2 linked regions of the Yarrowia lipolytica genome follow. The protein of the gene in region 2 interacts with the protein of the main gene of each other region in a pairwise test. Links are inferred from orthologs where the notes say so. Each region holds a gene or a part of one and is shown on either strand. Other genes may lie near its edges. The genes, in order: YALI1_A09553g and YALI1_F07938g.

Evidence for each region.
Region 1: the proteins of YALI1_F07938g (region 2) and YALI1_A09553g interact in a two-hybrid assay, tested with the Schizosaccharomyces pombe proteins (2 studies listed by BioGRID). The link is inferred for Yarrowia lipolytica from reciprocal best matches to the Schizosaccharomyces pombe genes sec24 and thi2.

What each region holds. Positions count from the first base shown.
Region 1 is NC_090770.1:952,664-959,867, forward strand, and holds YALI1_A09553g (uncharacterized protein), read left to right. Parts: upstream 1-2,647; coding exon 2,648-3,601; downstream 3,602-7,204. Other genes in the region: YALI1_A09524g (uncharacterized protein), read left to right, coding at 1-415; YALI1_A09576g (uncharacterized protein), read right to left, coding at 3,815-4,951; YALI1_A09593g (uncharacterized protein), read left to right, coding at 6,638-7,204. UniProt on the Schizosaccharomyces pombe protein: Involved in biosynthesis of the thiamine precursor thiazole. Catalyzes the conversion of NAD and glycine to adenosine diphosphate 5-(2-hydroxyethyl)-4-methylthiazole-2-carboxylic acid (ADT), an adenylated thiazole intermediate.
Region 2 is NC_090775.1:789,107-798,100, forward strand, and holds YALI1_F07938g (uncharacterized protein), read right to left. Parts: upstream 4,731-8,994; coding exon 1,926-4,730; downstream 1-1,925. Other genes in the region: YALI1_F07884g (uncharacterized protein), read left to right, coding at 1-453; YALI1_F07907g (uncharacterized protein), read right to left, coding at 877-1,686; YALI1_F07980g (uncharacterized protein), read right to left, coding at 8,511-8,976. UniProt on the Schizosaccharomyces pombe protein: Component of the coat protein complex II (COPII) which promotes the formation of transport vesicles from the endoplasmic reticulum (ER).

The sequences.
Region 1 (7,204 bases), on a different chromosome or scaffold from region 2:
TGAACCGGGATACGACCCACAAGATCGAGTGGCCCATTGCAACCTCCTGGTACAGCATCTCGCCATGCGACGAGACAAACGCTGCTTGTTGGCATATCAATTCACGCGTGCCCGGCGTATGAATGAAGCCGCATGGAAACAGACGGAGGAACCAAACCTCAACGGTAATGAGCAGGAGTACATGAAGGCGTATGAGGATCTCATTGTTGACATCAAGGGCCCGTACACCGATATCGATCTGACAGGATCATTGGAGCCTCCCAACGATGTGTTCATTGATGTTAGAGTGTTGCAAAGCGTGGGCGAGGTACAAACTGAATACGGAGTGTTCAACCTTGAGAAAGATTCGCAATTTTTTGTTCGGCGAAGTGATGTCCAGACATTGTTACTTCAGGGCTACTTGAAAGAGATTTAGATGCGGGGACGTGGGGGGTTGGATTATTTATGGCTTGTTCGTTTGCATGAAGGATGAGTGTCTGCACATGTATTTCACTAATGATTATTTTATTATTTTTACTGCAACGCACAAACTGCGTATCACTGGTGTCTGCCACTACAAGTATGTACTGTATCCTCTCATTTCAAAAATCTCGTTTATGACTTGAGCATATATGGACATAATGTAGCTCTTTCGCCGAAGATGATCTTACTGTGGGTACAACATGTACTGTAAGTAACATCCAAGCGTCCAATCCTTTTTTGTACTTGTAATGTTATCAATCCATAAGTTCACAACGATTAAGTTCAGAAAAACCTCCGCATCCTGACTAATACTTCTTCTAATAAGAAGCAAATAGCAAGTACGTAGCTTTATTGGTTCCTTTCCTTGCTGATGCCTCCTATTGCGGCCAATGAGTCGACTTCGTCCATCTCCTACAGCATACGTTGTCTTAGATGTATGTATGTAGCCTCCGCCACCCGTAACGTGTACTTGTAGCAAGAAGCTACCCATTTCTATCCGTCCTCTATACTACAAGTACTGTGTGTACTGTATGTACTGTTCTTTATGTACTCATATGTACATACAGTACTTATAGAAGTGTCATTAATCTAAGAGACCACTCTCGTACAAGTACTACTACAATACGTCGTAAAAAATGGGGTGGATACAACGGCAATCATCAGTGAAACAACCTTTAAGACAGATTTCCACATCATGATTGGTACACGCTGTTGAGGTTCGGGCAGCTACAAGTGGGCTAACATGGCAGACTAAATATGCCGTACCAGTAGCAGGTGGCTCGTTGGGACTCATTAAAACCATCTTGGCACTTCAAATATGCACAGGAATCCTGTAGCTAACTACTGTACAGTAGTGACTCGGGTGACTCTGTACGGAGCTATTTATGAATTGTGTGACTCGGATGACTCGGATGACTCGTCTCGTGCATTTTCGGCCGCCTGGGGTTACAAAGACCCACAAATGGTCCGTCCACACCTATGGAGTTGTGATTGCAGACTCTGACTCTTACTGTCTTGAGTCCTTACTACTTTGCAAGTACTCGTACTACTAATTAGCTACTTGTAGCTTCTTGTAGCAGCCGCAAGAACATACTTTTGAGAGCCACTTGATTGGAGTCAAGGGACCCACTCAGTGTGCACCGCGAGATAGCAATCGGCGCACTGACGGAGGCAGAAGGTGACACCGAGGGGTAGTCGTAAGTTTCATCACGTTGGGCATTAGATTCATATTGAACTTAGGTTACACGATTTCCGGGGATTCCTTTGGTTTCTTTCCGGGGGATTCTTTGTGGTCAACAGTTCGTGCCTAAATTAGACTTTTCATAGAGTCAATTGAAGACTCAAGAGTTTAGAGCGGAGAGAGCCAGAGGCACAAAAGACAACGCTCAGAAGACCTCTGGGGTGTAAACAGGCCGTAAGGCACTTATCAGATTGATTTAGGGTACTGTTCTACGTTTTTTTACCTGTCTCTGAGCTCTCGAGTCGATATCTATGGGGCTACCCTATTTTGACATGACTCCTCCAACGCACCAAATCTGCACACAAATGACTCAACATGATTGGGGCGACTCAGTAGGGCGACTCGCTGCGAGTCAGACAGTGCAGGAGATAACATTGAGAAGGAGAGCGTCGATAAGACGTACAATGCTCGACTCGAAAAAGACACAGCAGTGACCCAAATTCAACAGGGGAAATGTTGAATTGAAGTTTGGCATTAATTGAGCTATTTCGAGGCCCTCTGACATATATTGAACGCTTCTTTCTACTATCATGCGCAAACCCAATCAATCTTGTCGTTGACTTCTGGATGAGGGGGATCTAGACTGTAAGGCTAGAGCTTAATGTCTACCAACAACCGTCCAAGACTCTAGCCGCTATTAGGGCACCAGTCACCATTCACTACTGTGCTTCAATTGGATTGTTTCCAAACCGTGCGTGCCATGGTGTCGGTTCTAAACCAGTACCCTGTTAGATAAACAGCGTACAAGCCATTGTTTAGTCCAAGCCATAGCCAGTGACTTTGCTTAACTCGACTCATTTTGAACTTTAGCGCAACTCTACTGCATCCCTTTTGGTGGCCTGCCGTAAATCACATACTGTCGGCTGCGCTGTAAAAGTATTTAAACAGGGCTGGATCCCCTTGTTACGTCCACACACCCTTCCCCTTATATCACCTACAATTAACATGGCCCCACCTCCTGCTGTCGTTGCCCACCCCCTCTCCTCTCAGGCTACTGGTCTTGATATGGTCCATGAGTTCAACCAGAAGCTCACTAAGTCTGATGAGCACACTTGGGAGTCTTTCAAGTTCGCCCCCATCCGTGAGTCCACTGTCTCTCGAGCTATGACTCGACGATACTTTGAGGATCTTGACAAGTACGCTGAGTCTGATGTTGTTATCATTGGAGCTGGCTCCTGTGGTCTCTCTGCTGCCTATGTTCTTGCCAAGAGCCGACCCGACCTCAAGATTGCCATCGTTGAGGCTGGTGTTGCTCCCGGAGGAGGTGCTTGGCTTGGAGGACAGCTCTTCTCTGCCATGGTTATGCGAAAGCCTGCCGAGCAGTTCCTTGAAGAGATCGGTGTCCCTTACGAAGATGAGGGAGACTACGTCGTTGTTAAGCACGCTGCCCTTTTCACCTCTACTCTCATGAGCCAGGTGCTCAAGTTCCCCAATGTTAAGCTCTTCAACGCTACTGCCGTTGAGGACCTCATTACCCGAAAGGATGCCCAGGGCAACCTTCGAATTGCAGGTGTCGTCACCAACTGGACCCTAGTTTCCATGCACCATGATGACCAGTCCTGTATGGACCCCAACACCATCAATGCTCCTATCATCATCTCCACCACTGGTCATGACGGCCCATTCGGTGCCTTCTCTGTCAAGCGACTTGTCTCCATGAACGCCATTGAGAAGCTAGGTGGCATGCGAGGTCTTGACATGGGCCTTGCTGAGGATGCTATTGTTAAGCGAACCCGAGAGATCGTCCCCGGCCTGGTTGTCGGTGGTATGGAGCTGTCTGAGGTTGACGGTGCCAACCGAATGGGTCCCACTTTCGGTGCTATGGCCCTCAGTGGAGTCAAGGCTGCTGAGACTGTTCTTGAGGTGTTTGATACTCGAAAGAAGCAGAACCAGGAGTAATCTATAACGAAGAATAAATTGATTTATGATATATATATATATATATTACCCTGTATCGAATCTTGCTCGCAGACACTGTAGAATGTATAAGAAGCAGCAGCATACTAATTACTTGTACTTGTAACCAGTCAGACCGCATCTCGGTGGCAAATACCATTGCAAAATATTTTGCACGTCATGTACAGTTATTTTCTATGGCTCTGTATATACCGCCTATCCCATGTTCATAGTGTTTCCACTACCCTTGGGGTTCGCCTCCACAAACTCATCCCATTCCCGTGCCTTCATTGTTTCCCTGTCTGCGGCTTCGTCATCCATGTCATTGTCGCTCTTTTCAGTAGAAGGAATTTCTCCTCCTCCTTCGATGATTCCTCCTCGTCGTTTCTCTTCCTCCAGATAATCCTCAACAGACATGGTGGGGAGATATTGACCTGTTCCACGCACCTTGCTCTGTAGCTGCTGACGAGTGCTCACCAATTTAAACGGTCTGTTTATTTTGCCCATTGAATCGAGAATAGGTCGACCTGCCTCAGTGAGAGGATTCTTCTCAAGCTTGTCAGTGTAGCCTGTCACGTCCTCTATCTGTCTCTCTCGCCCATCCTGATCCTGTTCAGCCTGCGCACGTCTCATCAGATCGATGGGAGGCTCAGGCCTGCTGGGTGCTCTTGCTAGCATTTGAACCTCCATGCTGAGCATCTCAAGTGTATTCAAGGATTTCAGAGTATAGAGCTTCAGCTCCTCCTTTCTCAAGTCTCTGACTTCATCTTCGTCGACATTCGGCGCATCTGGATCTTTCTGCTTGGCCTCAGTTTTCTGAAGCAAATTCAGTTTTCCTTCCAGTTCCTTCTCGGCCTTGTGTTTGGCAATCTTCTCAGCTCGGAAAACGGCGGCGTCAGTGGGTCGCAGTTGATCTGAGAGCTCCTTCACCTTGGATGCGACGTTTTCGATGGTTAGCTGGCCCGCCAGAAATGACTCCAGACGAGAGGCATGTGTTTTAGGTAGCAGGCCGTAATGGTCGAGCGATTTGAGAAAGTCATTGTAACTCTTGACTTGGTGGTACACCAGATTTTTGCGATCTTCGGCACCTTGTACTCGTACCCGTTCCAGCGCCAGAGCCTTGTGATAAGGGATTGTCAGGTAAACGATTTCATTTGTTTTTAGGTCCTCCCAGGACTCGTTGTCTGAGAAGATGCCCAAAGACGAGATCATTTTAGAGCATTGATCCAGTGATTCTAGCACCTCCTTGACTTGCAATTGGTACTCTTCGGAGACAAATGGGTGACTGGATCGTTTCAAGGTATCGATTAGATCCAATGAGTGTTGGAATTCCTCCTTCAGTGTTCGAGACATTATGTGATAATGGTGAACCGGTTGTCTTGTCCGCCTTGATATTTCCTGAGACTATGCATGATTGTGTAAGGGCGAGGCTATCCGTGGGTTCAATTCCTGAGTATGTACATTTTTCTATTTTTCAGTAGGACCACATGAACTCAAAGAAGAAAAAAACATGCTTATGTCATACGGATCTTTAGTGGCATGCACCAAAGATACCATGCAAGGGGGGGCGGTGTTGAGACCCTTTGAGGGGCAATCGATACCCTGCCACAACAAATCACATGTACTTGTTGCTGATGGTCGGAGCTCGACCGTTTCTGTGAGCACTCCTCCTAATTATAACTAACCAGGTGCGGGCATCCTGAGCTAAGGGTGAGCATGCTGCTTGTGTTGATATCATTGTTTGGATGCAAGTTCTGTACAATGGAGAGGAGCCACATGGGCCGGTATCGGTGTCCTGCAAATATTCCGTGGGGTCACGTGATGGCCACTTGATGCCACGTTTCACTAATTCCGTATTTGTGCATAGGCTCTCTCTAATGACGTCATTCAACTTGTGCATGTAGATCAGGGAGACTGCACAATGTACTCGTATGTACTTGTATGACTCCTCTGAACATCCACATCCAGTTTATCACCTGGAATGGGGACTTTGCACTCTTCCAGGGCTCTATCTCGTTAAGTAGGTTTCTGTTTTGACTGAAAGTGAACCAGTAACATCGAAGTTTCAGAAGTGGGTGGATATAACTCACGCATCTCACCTACGAATACTCTACAGTAAGGTTATTTGTACAGAGGAGTGAAAGATAGGAAGACCGTATATAATAATACGCCTCTTGTTTGAAAAAGGAGCAAAGACAGGGCGTGCGAGAATGACCAACTGTATCCACCCTGTGGTGGTGGATTTACGTTTATGCTATTGCAATTGAGTGTACAAGTTCCTGTATATGATGCGCGGTTGTATTGCTCTATCATTTGTGAACACAGATCCAGCAGTAGGCCAAAAAATACAGTACAAGTACTGTACTGGCACAGTATAGACTCTACATTGTGGTTAAAAAATGACCCTCCACTTGTACCGACAGTATGTACTGTACTCACACTTGTAACATTGCTAATCACATGACTTTCCAAAGTTCTACGTTGTTCCATGAACCCAATCCTGGAAGTTGGTTAGTGAGTGAAATAGTGGCCGCGGTTGTACCAATAACAAGGTTTGCTTTGCACCATGGAACTGAGCAGGTTCACGCGTTCAATTGGATACCAATAACTAACAGAAATGTCTACGTTTATAATCCCTCGGTTCGTTGAGGTGTGCCCAACAAGTGCTAGAAACAACAGATGCAACCCCCCCACAAAGCCCTAACTGTGTCAGTGACGCTTCGGGAATAAAATGGCACGTTCATGATTACTGTACCTATGGTTTACTGTTAAGAACACTCCAGTCCGTGTCATCTTGTCTGTTTACCACGTTGCACCTCTCACTTCCTACACGTCCCAAACGTCTTCATGTCAACCCAAAAACAACGTGCACCTCCAACGTCAGATTTCGTCATAGGGTTCCCTTTCCAACAACGCAGGTAACGTTAATCAGGATAAACTGTGTGCGGTCTATAGCGCTGTGTAACCAAAACGACACATATAAAAGAGCAACTCCCGCCCACCCTCACTGCTCAATTGACTCTAAACAGAAACAAAAAAATGTCTACTGTCTCCACTACCGATTTCAAGCACCCTCAGGTCTACCTGAACAACGACAAGAACTCCTTTGCATACACCTCTTCTCGGGATCGATGGCCTCACATCCTCACTGGTGTCATTGACGATGTTCACAAGACCATTGCCGAGACCCCCGAGGGAGAGAAGCGAGATGAGCTCAAGAAGGTCCTCGAGCAAATCACCGCTCTCAAGCACGATGTTGAGCACGACAAGCCCCTGAAGGAGCTTCCCAACGTTGCCGACGACATCCCCGTTTACAACCGTCTGCTTAAGGAGAACCCTACTTCCTGGCTTCAGGGCGGATGGGTCTTTGTTGAGTGCTACCTCTACCGAGAGCTCCAGGTCTACTTTGATCAGACCAAGAACTGGAAGACTTACGACATCTTCAGCAGTCAGAAGGAGGATGCTTTCAAGGCCTCTTCTGCTGGTGTCTCCGAGCTCGCTACGCGGTACAAGGCCCTTGCTGAGCAGCTTAACGGCGTCTCTGACGAGGCCACCCTCAAGGAGCTCTTCAAGGAGTTCTCTGATATCTCTCTCTGGGGTAACGCT
Region 2 (8,994 bases):
TCGGCCGTCCAATCAGCGCTGTCCAACTACATTTCACAGTCAATTTCTCTTCTGGCGCGCTCAGTCAACTCAGACGAGTCGCTGGAACACGCCATGCATACAATTAGTCAGCACTCTCGAGCAGTGTCGACATTGGGCACTCTGCTGTCACGTGCCGTGGTACCTGCAGAAGGAGACGACAAGTCTGCTACACCTGTCTCTGAGCTGCCTCGAATCGCGGATCTGCTTGATTCTAACCTCAACTCAAAATTCTGGCGAGATGTGGCTTCCGCTCTAAACCTGAGAATCAAGGAGAGAATCACCCGCGCCACTCCGGGACTCAAGAGTCTGCAACAGAACCATGCGAGATTGGAAACTGTGGTTGCAGAGGCTGTCAGTAGAGGTGGCGGAGGATTGACGGTAGATGGAATGGAGGCTAAGGTGATGAAGGGTGCGCTGGCGCCTCTAAAGTAGGAAGCGAACGACGGAAGGGTCGTGAGCTGACAACAACCAAGAAAAGAACGACTATAGGTCATGAATGGCACAGTCGATGGTACCAATTGAGGTCTAGCCTTCCCTCAATAAGTCAACAAGAGTTGCCTGTCTCCGCACAGCTGACAATATATTGCATTAACCAACATATACTGTAGGAGACAAACACCCGTACATACCAAAAGTGTCGTGAGCATGTTCCACTGCTACCTACAGTAAAATACCTCTCGTAGCATCCATCCTCTTAGGCCTAACCATGGTGAGGTGCACAACGAGTAACGTGATTTCATGTTCATTATATCATCCCCTTATAAATATATACTTGTAGTCCGAATGTGTCCTTCCTTATCCTTTCCTAATGTTCCTACTTCTGTTCTCCCTTTCTGCTCCCCCTCCAGGCCCTCTTTAGTTTCCCCGACCTCTACCTCTTCCACCTCGTCCTCTGACACCTCCCCGGCCTCGGCCACCTCCCCGACCACCTCTGAAACCGCCTCTCTGACCTAAAGGAAACATATTAATACCAGACCCTCCATACTCGAACACACCTCCTCCATACTGCCGGCTGGCTCCGTACTCTCGAGTGCCAAAGTCGTCACTCTTGTGCACCTTGCCCTCGCGCATCTTCTGCCGTCGCTTCTTGCCCGGTCGGGCCCGTCGCTCACTCTTCTCCACTTCGGCATTATGAGCGCTTACGTCCAGCACCTTGCTAGGAACATCATACCGATGGTACCCGCCCACCTTGAGGACGGAATCTGCGTCCACAGCCATATCTCGAAACTGGGCTACCAGATCCTGCTTCTTGGGCTCGGGCTCTGCAAACGTAAAGTAGTACGCCAAGGGACGAAACTTGTTGCGCGCAGCAGCAGCATACTCGTCGTTGAACTTCTCCTTGGCCCGACCAATACTGGCAGTGCCCTCATCCACAAACCCCTCAAACACAGGCTTCACGTCCTTGACAACAACCGTTTCGGGCGCGCCAGAAAACAGATTGAATGTGAACTCGGGAGCCTCCTCAGACTCCGAGCCATCGTCTCCCTCAACAGCTTCTGAGACCTCAACCACCGTCATCTCCTGGTCCGAATCAGTGTCATCATTCTCGACCTCAACCTCCTCGAACGCAAACAGATTCTCGTAGCCTGCATACGACGAGTTTCCAACTTCGCCCTCGCTGTCGCTCCCGCCTCCAAATAACTCTTTTCGTGAAATTTTAGACATGTTGTGTGTGCCTTATATTGTAAGATGATTCAGTTTTCACCGAGCTCAAGACTTCGATTTTTTTAAGGTTGTGCATATACTCTGTCTCGTATTATTATGATGTATTACAATGTACGCCATGCTTCTACATGTACGTACCATTAACCATTCCAGTTCATGGACTGACTGGCATCATTCGTACAAATCCTCAACCTGTGCCAGGTGATCAAACAGCCATTCGTTATTAATACATTTTACATCTAAGAGTTCAGCTTCTCCCGAATGGAGGTGAGGAACTGATGGTAAGTGACGCCGCTCTGCTCCACTCGGTCCTCGACCAGATGGGTGGTGGCCCACAGTCGCAGAGCAGGCTCGCCGTCCTCCCGCACCACGTACAGATGCTGGTAGGTGATGGCATCTGTCTTTTCTCGAGCCTTGGAAATGATGTTTCGGATTCGCTCGTTGAACTGGTTGTCCAGCACGGGCAGTTCTGTCTTGCCTGTGGGCACCTCGGTGATGGAAGACACGCCAAACACGTCCTGCAACAGTGCAGGCTGTGCATCCCGGCCTACCCACAGGAACATGACCTGGCCGTCGTCAATGAGGAACAGACCATGGCTGATCAGATGCTCGCCACTGAGGTTTGTGCAGGGAGGCATGACAATCTGGCCGGTCTCGGCGTCAGGCAGACCAGCTTCATCGGGCATGAAGATGAGGTTGTAAAAGTTGGGATAAATGTACTGGATCAGGTACTTGTCGGGCAGGGTCGACAGGAGACACAGGGCCGCAGACCGCAGATCCGAGGGGATCTGCGAGGTCTTTCGGAAACCAATGTGCTTGATCAGAGCGTTCACCAGCAGAGGCAGCATTCGCAGGTTGGTGCAGAACTGCAGGGGGGCGGAGGCGCCGACGTTGGTGGTCATCAAATCCTTCTTGTAGCAGGTGAACATCTCGTTGAGTCGGTTCATGAGCAAATCCCGTGCGTCCTGAGGACCCTTTTGCAGAGCCTTCTCCACTGCCTTGTTGGCAAGGTAAGTGGTGATAGCGATCTGGTCAGCAGACGCGTAAATGTCCTGCAGCAGAGCCGAGGTGGGGAAGGCCCGGGTGATGACTCGGATGCGTCGCTCGCCAGAGGCAGTGCTGTGCAGAATAGCGGCCTGGAAAGTCACCCAGGGCTTGACAATCGTCTCCTCAATATTGACCTCAATCACGTAGCTCTGATCTCGAGGGAAAGTGGAGAAAGAGCACAGATCCGAAGATCGGGAGAAGAAGTTGCCGTAGAAGGCGCTCATTCGAATACCGTCGCAAGATCGCACTCGCAGAACGGCCTCGGTAGCCAACTCCTGAGACAGGTACTCGGAGAACTCCAGAGCAAATTTGTTGGCGTCCTCAGGGTTTGAGGCAATCCAGCCAGGGTAGAAGTAAGTCTGACCGGCGGAGAATCGGGGCAGGTTGGAGAGAGATGCAACGTCCTGGTAGTGAGAGGAGAACAGGAACATGTCCACGGTCACCTGAGTCTTGGAGCACTCCACGGCAAACGATTTGTAGAAGGTGGAGGCTGTCTGGAGCATCTGGCCCTCTCGCGAGGTACCCAGAGCCTTCTTGTCATCTCGAACCTCGAGCTTGCCCTGTCCAACGTTGGGGAGGGTAGAGGTCAGACACACAATCTTACCGCCAATGTTGGCAATGAGCTTGTGAGCAGCCACGACAGCAGATCCCAGAGCCGAGGCGGGGTTGACTGTGTGAGCAAACATGGACTGCAGAGAATCCAGCAGCTTTTCAATGCCGCCCTTGCACTGGGAGAGATTAACCAGCAGGTCGGTAGGCATGGGGAGGAAGGGGTCGTCAATGTCGGAGACAACCATCATCCGGGGCTCGGGCCACTCGTTCTCCTCTCCCTCTTCGCCCTCGCCCTCCGCCACGTCCTCCTTTCGGGGAATGGCGAAGTAGTGCAGCGACGAGTCGACTGCGAGGAAACCGACTCGGGTTCGGTTATCCACGTTGGGGATTCGTGATAGCGACTCCTTGATGGTTCGCGCAGCGGTGGCCAGCAGACCGTTCTTGACAGAGTGCACAGACACATCCAGAACGAACACGTAGACCAGAGGCTGAGGAGGTCGCACCATGTACTCTGCGGGAGCCACGAACTCAACGACAGAGTGGTTGAGCTCCGCTCGGGACCATCGGTCTCGGGGCTTGTTGGCCACGGCATCATAGTCAAAGCCAGAGGGCACATCGTTGGTCAGGTTGCACATGTTGCACCGCCATCGAGCGCCACCCTCCAAAAAGACAACATAGGGGTTGATGTAGGACCGACATCGTCGGCATCGAGCAATGGTGGTGTCGGCCACGGTGGGGACATTCTCGTCGGCATCTCGCAGCGCAGTGTAGGGTCGGATGACCAATGCAAACGGCAACTTGGACTTTTTGAGCAGCGACGACGATGTAGGCACGGTGTTGAGGGTGCATCGCATGAACTCCGAGTCAGCGTTGGGATCGGGGTTGCCAGTCACCGAGGATCCGGGGGGCAAGATCACGGGAGGGGGAGGCAGGGTGAGATCGGAAATGGGAGGGGGGAAGTTCTGCAGCAGATCGGTGTTGTAGATCTGGTTGAGCTGGGTCGGGGCAGCCATGTGAGCTCCGCCAGCCGCTCCGGGTGGAGCACCTCCTTGGTAGGCGCCGCCGCCGCCAATGTTGAGGTTGCCCATCTGGTTGGTAAGACCCTGGTAGCCGTACGCGGCTCCAGCGGCCTGGGGGGCGCCGTAGGCCATTCCTCCAGCCACACCGGGGGCCACGGGAGGATCCACGGCCGATCCGGGAGTCCCGGGGGGAGGAGCGAACGCGCCAGACTGCACGTTGGCGGTGTGGGGCTGGAAAGCTGCGGGCGAGGGAATGGCATGAGCTCCACCGTACATGGCAGCACTGGGAGAGGCGGAGGCTCCGTAGGGCTGGGTGGGGTCGGGCATCGAGTAGCCGGCGGGCTGGGCCGCGGCGAAGTCATACTGTTGCTGGGGGTAGACCCGTCGCTTGGACGAAGAGCCCTGTTCGGGGTGTTCTTGGCTCATCTGGGTTAGTCAAGGTATTGGTGAGTGGCTGCAGGCACGGACGGGAAATGTGACGACGCAGTCGCGGTGGTGAAAGGCCATAGATCTCGAGCGGACAAGATCGTCCCATCTGATGCGACGAAAGATCGCGGGATCCTGTTTGTGGCACATCAAACCCGACATCAGACACAGGCACAGACGCTGCACATGACGGTATTATAGCAAAACCATCAATTCCGAAAGTGGTTTTGGTGATGATTGCGTTCGTGTAGAATCAATATTTTGCTTGTGTCCGATCAGCCACCTTTTGATCTGTGTCGTTGTGTCCTTCTCTGAGTCCGTGTCACAAATCGTGTCGCACCAGGTTGTCCCCATATATGACACCTTTGCAGCTGTAGATGGCAATTGAAGGTGTGGTTTTGATGCGACTCATTCTGTGTCACTTGTCATCCTCCGTTCATCTCAAGTCAATGGACTCACCGTCTCCTAGTCCACTTGTTACTCACCTCAGTCGTGTTCACACCGTGATAGTTATGTTAACGTGGGAGTTTACTTTGGTGTGCTGTTCAGAAGCCGGCCGGGTAATGCCACGTAAGAGTCACGTGAATCTAAGGGGAGGGGTGGTTGGGTGGCAACAGACGAGATTAACAGACCAATATAGATCAGGGCTAGGGTACGAGGCCCCTCAAACAAATAATTTTACCGTCCAGTAAATTTTCCACCCTCCTTTGCCCCTTCTACTCGTTCAATACATCCCCATCTCCACCGTTCTCTTCAGATATAGATCTCTTCGCTGAAAGCGTAATGTGGTGTTGTTCAGCCTTGAAGCAGGAAGTGTATTTGGCGGTGTGAAATAGTTCTGACAGCAACGCGAGCCACGCGAAAGGGAACGACAGGCACTCAAAATGACGTGGTAAAGGTCCTGTTTTTTTACACATGATTAAATGAGAAGATTGTGGCTTATTTATATATTTTTTCTTGCAGAAATCACCCCATTTCGACAAAATCATTACTGTTTTGGCGCATGGTACATTCCGCCGTGCGAGTCAAACGCGTCGACGTGTTAGGAGTGCGAGTGCCAGTACAAGTGTCGGTTGTATAACTAAGTACAGGTGGTACGAGTGCGAGTACGTACCTTGTAGTAACCATGATCGTCGTTTGTTGAGTCTGAGAATATTGATTGTCTTCTACTTGTACTTGTACTACCAGTGTAAGTACTACCAGTTTGTACGATAGTCGTATCTATGTACTATCTTTCAGTATTGTACAGCACATACTTTACATGATTATTGATAATGCAAAAAAACTGAAAGAAATATGAGAAATAGAATATTGTAAATATGAGCGATAGAATATTGTAAATATGAGCGATAGAATATTGTATATATTTGTCGTGGTGTGTGCAGATGGTGTTGTCCAGCAAGACAAGTTCTTCAAAGAATAACAGCGTAGTCCATACTCGTACTACATACATCAAGACCCCATACAATCATTGTCTTCGTTATCAGTTCTTGTACCCGTATCTACTGTACATACTTGTATCTTCATTGCCATTGTTGTATCTAAACTACTGGAAGTCTCTGGAGCAAGATTGAGAGTGGTATGTGTCGACCCTTGAGGGCCGATGCAACCTATAGGGGATGCGGTCGGATTGACAGACCGCCTACTGCCAATGTTTGTTACTGCTCTGCTATCCGTCTACGGAGCTACTCCACCAACTCACCAACGTACCCACCATCTGCCAATACGCTACTCCTCCCTAGATCTAAATCGCGAGCTTCGAAAAGTGGGTGAGACATGTCCTCAACTGTCCCCGACCACGCTGGTGTCCGTATGGAATACGTCGTGGCTGTAAGACACAACAATCTCCCCGCTCGTATTCCGACAGATCCACCGGGCCACTCTTGGACGAGCCGCGCGTGCAAAACACAATATGCTCCGAGACCCGACCTTGGCATCTGGATCTTGCTCTTGCGATACGACTACTGTGCCCGTAAAGCTCCCATATAGATACATGCTCGCGCCTCGATAGGCTTATACGGGGGTTGCGTTTTTTTGGGGGTAAAAAAAAGGATACAAAAAAGGGTAAAAAAAATAGTACGTACCTTATTAGCGACGCACGTACGTGGGCTGCGTCCATCAACCCCGCCCATCAATCCATGGAATCTTTGCCGTGAGACACACAAGTTTCAGACTTGCTCCTTTTGAGTCTTCTCATCATTTACGACAGTTCTTTTTCCACCCACAGCCATCCGACTTGTGCATCTCCGTATCCTAGCCGAGCCCATTCGGGGTGCATGACAACTGCGGGATCTTGGGGGTAGAGTGTTTAGCGAAATTAATATATGCAGTATAGTGCAGGATGAGCTAAGAAGCATTCTACAAACAGTTGTATACAGGCACCAGACATTTATATAGTTATTGGGAAACGTCGAGTGGCGTAAGATGGCGGTGCCCTGGAGCCACTCACACATGTATCATAGGTTTAATAAGTCCCGCACGGGTCGTTTCTAATGTAATGTCTCATGTCTAAGAACCACGGTGTATTCACCGAACTATCCTTGAGATACTCATTGCTCATCGCTACGGGCTCGACGCTGGCATTTTTTCTCCGATAATTTCACGGTGGACGTACCCACAGGCCATCCCTTCTGCTTTGGGAACTCGCGTATCCAGCGAAAAGCCCTGCGGCATTCTGGGGACCGAGAATTAGTGTTGATGCTAGCGCAAGGCTTGTTCTTTAGTGGGCATCTACCGCAGCTACTATACACGAGCGCGACGTAGGTATAGCATGCCAAAGGCGGGTGCGATACCAGATGACGCTATAATATGCCAGATTTGCACTAGCACACATCACTGGAAGCTGTCAATTTGAAAATGTCAATGCAGTCTCACCATTGGACGATCTTGGCACCTCCTAAACTCTGGCAATGTCTGAGCTCTTTGACACATAAGACATCAAGCAGACGGTCTAAAATCATATGCCATGTAAAGAACTACTAGTGCCTGTAGAAGACGCCTGTAGAAGACGCCTGTAGAAGACGCCTGTAGAAGACGGCTACTTGTATATTCTCACTTGTCGTGCTTCACTCACGGCTCGATGTCCACTGCTTACCTCAGCGGCAGCGGGCGGAAAAAGCCTACAAACCCCTGTCGGCCGCGTTGCACTTGTTGGGCGACGACCAAATATGAGTTGGAAAAGTTTTATCTTCGCCAGAGACGCCGTCCCATTGTTATTATTACAGAGGTCCATGAACATGAGCTTTAGATCAGATCTGCACGTGGCGGAGCCGCCCAACCGTGTCTTTTCCCGTCGGTACGAGCTGATAAGCTGCACCTCACCAACAATCATGACATGAGGTCTTGTATGCAAGGGAGACGTCGGAGTGCTTCGGCAGGCTTCGGTTAGGGCTTGGCTGGAGGCTAGCGACTGCAGTGGCGGAGTCCTCGTGGTCTTCCTTGATGTACCCCGTCGCATGTGAGTCTGCTATGATATATGAAACTAATTCTAATCTAGTTGCGGTTAATTTCATATCATGGTCTTTGTTTCTCCCTTATTGAATTCTATTTTTCATATCTTTGGCTGCTCCTCCCCTTTTTCGGTCTCTCCAGCAATCTTTGGCGAGTCTCGAAACCTGGAGGAAAACCTGTAGACAACCTGCGCGAAACGACGGCCAAAAACAGTGAAACTTGAGCCGAAAAAGCATGGAAAATCACACGTGACCATCGCATTTGGACTTTCCCATCGTTGCCAGCAACTCCACGTGTTTGGTCACTTGTAGAGGTTTCGGTACTGTAGCTCTAGCTAGTCCATCGTACGTGTTCACCTGTGGAGACCCGACCCTTGAAGTGCGATACTCTACAGTGCACCAAGAGTACACCGAAACCAAAAGCAACCGAGTGTTGATCCCTCAATGGTTGGGGGAAATGTTTCACAGAGCGAGGGCACGAAAGAAGGGGTTGGAAGAAGCAATCACCAGTTTTGCCAACGGTATTTACAGGGTTTTGTTGCTGTTTGAGTATCGATAGTCCGACACGCAAAAATGAGCAGCACGACAATGGCGAGCCTCCTTTTTTCGTCCCTCTCTCAAGCCCCCCCGCCCATTCAGACTTTGTGCCAAAAGAACTGCGAAACCAAAGAAAATAAACGTGTATCCGGGCCGTTTCCTTTCTTAGGGCAAAGCCAAACGGAACGGAGTTGAGGTCAACTTGTATGTGATTTGGAGAAGCGCAACAAGGGCGACAACAGTAGGGTTTCGTTTCATAGCTTTTCGGTTATCGGTTT